Oryza sativa Japonica Group: one gene and its partner. Each later gene encodes a partner of the first gene's protein in a complex. Links are inferred from orthologs where the notes say so. Each region holds a gene or a part of one and is shown on either strand. Other genes may lie near its edges.

Region 1 (3,753 bases):
ACCTCACGACAACATATCATTAATCCAAGAGTGTTAGTTGTGATCACTTCCCTATTAAATCAAAGAAAGAGTGGAGTTTGAATATAGCTTGAAAGCACAATTGAATGTATTTGGTCAAGCCATAAATAAAAAGACAGCATGAAAATTACATGAGAGCCTCGTCGGAGGTCTCGACCAACGGTTTGTAACTATATGCATTTGATCCAGCATTGTTGATCTGTGCCAAAGGAACACAAAGATAAGGAGAAAATCCTGCCTTCTTATGGTTCTAGATTTTACCCAAAAAGATTCAACACTACATAACTGAGTGCTTCAATTAAATTACTGAAGTTTAAATATTCAAAAAGGGTAGCTGAGAAATTTCGAACACTCATGAGTATGTAGTGAGAATCAGCATAACTTTATAGCCAGTGATTTTCATATTTGTACATATGAAAAGAATATAAACATGAGTAAGTTCATGTGCAGATATTTGATGATGATGGGGTGATTATGTACCCAAATATCAATATACTTCATCTTGTCACGTGCAAAATCAACTAGTGCCTTTACATCCTTTCCTTCCCTAACATCACAGACAATTCCCTGCAATAATACAAATAGAAGCAGTTCAGTTGCATAAGTATTATTGCACTGTAAAATTTTCAACAAACATAATTATAAGTGGAGACTCCAATGGCAGTAAAAGTATCAAGTAGCTCAGCAGTAGGAAGTAGGTACCCACACATGTTGCTCTCCAAATTCCTTTTTCAAGTCAGTCACCGCAGATTCTACCCTTTCAGCTGTAGAGGATAGACTGCATGTCAAGGAAAGGCTAAACTGTAACTTGTTTGCTTTTTTTTTTTTCATTCTCTCACTAAAAGTGGGCTCAAGAAAATCCTAGCAATCCATTTGTTTATTCATTTTAAAATTTCATGAAAGATCAATTTAACAGGTCAGTCATATCAAGCAGATGACCCCTATATAGAGCACCTAATGAGCGATAATGAGCATCAAATGACAAAAGCTGGATAGTGCATATTTTAGTGTTAGGTCAATGGATCATCCAAATGAGAAGAGAGGAAAATAAAGAAACAGGTAAACGAGACTTGACCATGCAAATCAATTTGCAATGCATCTTAGGCTCGATAATTTATCCAATTTTATTTATGTCATCACTCAAAAATAATTACTAAAACTAGCGCTACCTATTGAAAGCACAAAATCATTTCTGTACCTGATCTTGAGCAGATTACAACATTATCGCCAGCCTTCAAAAATTCCTTTGCCAGAGCATATCCTATACCTGTTTAAGAGCAAACAAGGGTCATTGAGTTGTACTACAAAGGTTTTTGAAACAAGCTTCCACAAAGGAAGCGTTTAGGAGATATACCTCTACCACCATTGACCAAAAGATCTAATATGTCAGGATTTAAATATTTTTTTACCACAATACAGTATCAAAGCAATTGCTCCACACAGTTTCAAGCTGATTTGCATTGTTTGATTAAAAGGTCAATGCCGAATGCACTGATGTTCTAGTTCATTTTGTCTTCTAAATTGTGTACTAGAAAGTAGGAAATGAACTAATTAAGCAGGTTCTTATGCTGGTAGCGGCACTACCCACTTCCACCCCTACTTCCAAATTGGTGTTGCTCTCTTCTCGGCTACATAAGGCACGAAAAAACAACATCGCCACCACACCACACCCTGACCATCTGAATTATTTCCAACACAAGCATTCAGAATTTCAGAAATATCGATCACCACCAGTTCCTATATGCTCCTACTAAATTGCATCCCAACAAAAAGCATCCACAGACATCCTACTTCTTTCTTGTAAGCAAGATCAAGCATGCGAAGCAACACGACGACGAGGGGGGGAGAACTCAACAACACCTTTCGTGGAACCGGTGATTAGAACATTATACGGGGGCACCATGGCCGCCCTCCGCGCGACCCCTCCACCACCAGGGACAGCCTCCGCGCGGATACCGGCAGCCTCCGGCCCGCCTCTCGCCGCAAGCCGGCGCCGCGCCGTCCGGCCGGGCAACCGCGCCCCAGCAGCGGCCGAGCCCGACGGCCGGAGCGGAGCCAGGCCCACCTGCGCCTGGGCACGGAGCGGGAGGTAGGCGGCGGTGGCCGCCATTGCGGCGGTAGCGAGACGAGGGGAGGGGAGGGGAGGGGAGCGGAGTGGAGAGGCGTCGTCAACTGCGGTGCTCGCCTTGCCGGCTCGCCGTCGCGGAGTCTGGATAACGATTAACGAGCGAGGATTTTAGAAGGGAGGGGGCCTGCGAGTTAAGTACGGATGTTAAGAGGTGGAGGTGGCCCACAAGTCAGTGTGAGCAATCATCCTTTCTCTCTCTCTCTCTTTTAAACTACTAGTAGTATGTACTAGTACTATTTTGCAAGGTTTTTTTAACTATTATATGCATGTGCTTTACAATAGTTTTTTTTTTCGAACGCGCAAAAGAATTGCACGTCAATATATTAGTAGGAAAAGAGTTTTTGTTACACAAAGCAATCAGCCAGATTGGCTTATGCCTAAAGGGGGGACTTGAAGCTAGGAACTACTACGACGGTTAAAAACGTAATTCCAAACAGCGGGAGGGGGCAAAGCCACGCTACACTCCCAATAAATCCCCAAAAAAAGCAACGCCGACTAAAGACCACAGCTGGCCCTCCGAGCGGATGGACTCCAGAACCACTGCGACCGAAGCGAGCGCAGAGTCGAAAACCCTGGAGTTTCGTTCCTTCCACAGCTACCAGGAGACTAGGAATACCTGGAGTCGAAGCTTTACAATAGTTCCTTTTATAATAGTTTCTTTTCCTTTCTTATAGTAACATGCAACGGACTAAACCATATAATTAGGAATTGACTGGATGAGTGAATTGAGAATAAAACATGGGCTAAACCATATATAATTATAAATTGGGAAGAATGTATTGGATCCTATATAGTTACACACCTATGAGAAACACATGATGAGAAGGGGATGAAAGTAAGATGATTATGCTTTGTTCTAGACTCTAACTCTAAACTTCAACTTTTCTCGTTTTTCGTTAGAACATTTCTCAAACTGTTAAAAAGTGTTTTTTTAAAAAAAAATATAGAAGTTTTCTAAAGGATTCAAATGGACCAACTTATCAAATTTATAATAATTAATAATTAATTAATTATGGGTTAATTGCTTGCTTCGGTTTTTATGCTGCTTAGAAACTCAGTTAGTTGCTTGGCTTTGAGCAGGGTGTTTCAGTTTTACAGGTAAGGAACACTTGGGATTTATGGACTGTAGTGTTAGTGCATACTTGATTCATAAGTTAGACAAAGGGAAAATGTGGCTACTGGGAAGAAACGCCACCCTTCTCTTGTTGCATCTGGGGTAGTGATTACACGTGTCCTGGTAGTAATTAGTAGTACTACGATCGATATGTTGCCGTTGCTTCTGCACTAGTGATACTATTAAGTCTCGATCAGTTCGTCGCTGTCACCATGCCACTCTCGCGGTGAGCGTTGCTTGCTGGTTTGCACATGCTGGCTGTACATCGCATATACTCCCAACCAAATTAATTGTAGTATCCTTGTGCACTGCATTTGCAGAGCATAATATTCTGTCTTGATCTGCATAAGTTCGTCCTCAGCCTCAGTAAACTCTTTGCATACACAACCTGACAATCACTTCATACGCATGAGCACCACATCACACAGGATTGAGAAATTCACACCAACAAATTACACTAAGGACACTCAAAGTAATTAAAACATCTGGGGAT
Region 2 (3,458 bases), on another chromosome or scaffold:
AATTGTGTATTTCAACCGAAAAGAGAAGGCAAAAACAACTCTCCAAAAAACTTGGAGTTTATGTTTTGTGCCATGTGTGCTTCTAGAGCTGCGAGTAGCTGTAGGGAGCCAGGATTAGTATGGCTGGTAGTTAGTGAATTTCTGATTGATAGCATTTCAATTTTGTCATAAACTGGTGCGTTGATCTATGAAATTAGGCAGTTAGATTCATCGCAAATTTTTAATGGGATGAGAATATGTAAACACGGTATGTAAAGTTATCCATTAACTAGTAATACATTTGTAAAATAAAATAATTGACTGTCCTTTCTCTTTAAGAAATTGAGGAAACCACCCGTGAAATCAGTTTACTGGTACTTATAAATTATATTATCTTTTTGGGCACTTTCTTTTAATGAGGGCATCGATGTATCTCTAGAGGAGGCCGAGATTTGGGTTGAAACGGCTAGAGTAAAAAATCGGCATGAAAACCAACACTACATTGGTTTGTATAATTGTATAGACAAAATTATGACATCTGATGGTATTTGCAATTATAAATTTATAATCACACAATATATCTGATTGTTCAAGCAAAAGGGACAAAAGACTACTAACATTACTTTCGAATGATGTACAGATGAATTCCTGGTCACAGTTCTAAAGCTAGGCCTCTTGTACCCCAAAGGCCTTCTGGATTTCAGCTATGACTCGGTCTGCGACATCGGGACCAAACATCCTCGGCAAATTTGAAGTCAGGTCGACCTCGATTGACTTGGACCTTACAATTTGGTCCCTCTTTATCATGTTTTCTCTCTCGCCTTCTTCCATCTCTGAAGTATGATCAGCACAACTATCAAGCCAAATTTGAAGAAGTGCCCTAGCAGCTGTTGCTAGTTGACCACGCACTATCTCTTCCAAGGTACCCTCTCCTCCTTGCCCACAGTCGATGCTCATCAGTATTGCTGTCAGTGAGAAGGTGCTGCGCACGAAGAGGGATCGCGATCGGTATGGACGGGCCTGCGGCAATTCTTCGACCTTCTCACGCTGTTTGTCCACCTGAGTATTCTCATAGTATCTCTCTATGTATTCGGGATGGAGCGCAAGGTCTTTCCGTGGGAGAAGGTCCAGAAGCACCACGATCGAAGTTGGGCTACCTTGTATAAATTCCATGAGGAAATGCGGAGCATCTGTCGAGGCGTTCAGAAAGATGAGAAGAGATGTAATGTCGATTGCGCCATTTGGGACTTTGCAGTGTAGTGAGGACTGGAGCATGAAATCAATCTGTAGACAAGAAAAATTAATAATTTAACTCCATTTGTCATTCCTTGCAGAACTCAAGAAATTCTACCACGCTAAGCTACTGAGCACTAGGGAGCATAATTCAGGTGTTCAAGTGGTGAGATTAGTTTCATAATTTGAATGCTGTTGATCATTTTGGCCACTCCAATTGTGTCCGTTCAGTTGGAGTGATTTTGTTTTTTTGTTTTTGGAGAGGAAACAAAATCTGTGAGTGATAGGAAGAATCACGAATGAGGTACAAACTCTAGAACAGACCAATTGTTTCCATTTCGATATTGGAAGCAAATGAACTAATTTGAGCATTGCCAATATAATGAAAAGTCATAATTTGCTCCGAAGAGTTGGATTATGGATCTTGGCTTCTAAAAGTTTGCAAGTTCACCTTGATAGGGCAAATCACAAATAGTTCGGCAGCAATTTTTCAGTGTAAAACAGTTTCAGTAAATTGTCCAAGTCTTTTGACATGCCATTGATCTATTCTGCTCTGTTTGTGCCAGCCTGTTTTTACCAGTTTACCACTACCATTTCACTACTTAATTAGTTAATTCATATGATTCACTACTTAATTCATATGACTGATTCTGATGGTGCTCTAGACATTACCAGTTTACCACTACCATTTCACTAATTCATATGACTGATTCTGATGTTCTCCAATCGACAGAACAGGTAAATCTGTACGATCTGACGAGCAAAAGTGAGAGGAGGGGTGCCATTACCGTCGATCCCGGCGCGCCGCGGCGCACGTCGAGCGAGCCCACGGCGTTCCCGGCGCCGCCGCCGCTGCGGAACTCGGCGACGTCGGGCGGCACGGCGGAGGGGAGCAGCCGCGCGCCCAGCCGCGCCTCCGCCAGGGACGCGAGCGCCCGCGCCACCTCCCGGTGCGCCACCTCCACCATCACCTCCGGCTCCGTCGCGCCCGGCGCCGCCGCCGACGACGCGCGCACGGCGCTCGACGTTTTGCCCCCGAGCTGGGAACCCGCGCCGCGGCGGCGGCGGCGGAGGGGGAGGAGGCGAGGAGCGAGGGTCGGGAAGGAGACGGCGGAGGACGGCGAGCTGGTCGCCGGCGGCGGCGAGCGGAGTTGGAGCATTGGATCACGGCGAGGTGTTCGACGCGTGGACGAACGGAGCGAGAGATGAATGTGAGCGAGAGGGAGTGAGAAGGATTCCGTGAACGTGTAGAACTATCCCTCTTTTACTTTTGTAACTAGTGCAGTATATACATAGGAGATGATTGAAAGAGAGATCTGAAAGCTGCTGTTACAAATCCATCAGATTCCAAGACATTATCTATTGCAATTTGCAAATGCCTTGTTTTTTTTACGGACACTGCATTACTGAAATGTGAGATAATGCCAATTGAGGTGGTATTTGGGAATCACAAAAATGACTAGTTTAGTCCCTCCTTCGCAAACACCACATGAGTTGGTTTTTTTCTTTTATACTTCCTCCGTTTCAGGTTATAAGACTTTCTAGCATTCCCTATATTCATATAAATGTTAATGAATCTAGACACATATATATCTAGATTTATTAACATATATATGAATGTGGGTAATGTTAGAAAATCTTATAATATAAAACGGAGGAAGTACCATGCTAATGACTGGGCAGCTCACCATGTAGCGCATAAGCTTGGGAACCGAGGTGATACTTATGCCCTATTCTTTTCTCCAATAAAAGTTGGATAAACTTTTGGATACTCGTGACACGTTTTTCAAACTGCTAAACGATACGTTTCGTGGGAAAACTTTTTATATGAAAGTTGTTCTAAAATATCATATTAATCCATTTTTCAAGTTTGTAATAATTAAAACTTAATTAATCATATATTATTACTACATCGTTTTGCGTGAAACACTTAATCTTCATCTTTATATTTATCTTCAGGAGATTAAACACACCACCTAAACCTTAATACACTTGAGGCCATCTGCTACTGCTGATCACTCACTGCTGTTGCTGCTTATCGCTCCATGGGCCAAGGCCCAAAGCTCACAAAAGGCCAGATGCTGCACACTAGCTTTCTTCCTCAGTCCACTAGCTCTTCATTTTCCTTTTTCCCCCCTCTAATTATTGTGGGGGCCATATTACTGAAGGAGAATTCGAAACATCTTGAATCTTCTCAGAGAGCTTGAGAGTGAAATGAGTGGGCCGGCCAAAGAAGACCACTATGG

The links.
Region 2: chlorophyll(ide) b reductase NOL, chloroplastic (region 1) and red chlorophyll catabolite reductase 1, chloroplastic share a complex: the UniProt entries of both Arabidopsis thaliana proteins name them as parts of the SGR1-CCE-LHCII complex. The link is inferred for Oryza sativa Japonica Group from reciprocal best matches to the Arabidopsis thaliana genes NOL and ACD2.

Annotation. Positions count from the first base shown.
Region 1 is NC_089037.1:26,389,546-26,393,298, forward strand, and holds the start of chlorophyll(ide) b reductase NOL, chloroplastic, read right to left. Parts: upstream 2,251-3,753; 5' UTR 2,129-2,250; coding exon 1,879-2,128; intron 1,286-1,878; coding exon 1,217-1,285; intron 783-1,216; coding exon 721-782; intron 586-720; coding exon 499-585; intron 218-498; coding exon 150-217; intron 52-149; coding exon 3-51; intron 1-2. UniProt on the Arabidopsis thaliana protein: Required for chlorophyll b degradation. Chlorophyll b, chlorophyllide b, pheophorbide b and pheophytin b can be used as substrates. Belongs to the chlorophyll catabolic enzymes (CCEs).
Region 2 is NC_089044.1:13,537,302-13,540,759, forward strand, and holds red chlorophyll catabolite reductase 1, chloroplastic, read right to left. Parts: upstream 2,473-3,458; 5' UTR 2,373-2,472; coding exon 2,001-2,372; intron 1,264-2,000; coding exon 646-1,263; 3' UTR 501-645; downstream 1-500. UniProt on the Arabidopsis thaliana protein: Catalyzes the key reaction of chlorophyll catabolism, porphyrin macrocycle cleavage of pheophorbide a (pheide a) to a primary fluorescent catabolite (pFCC).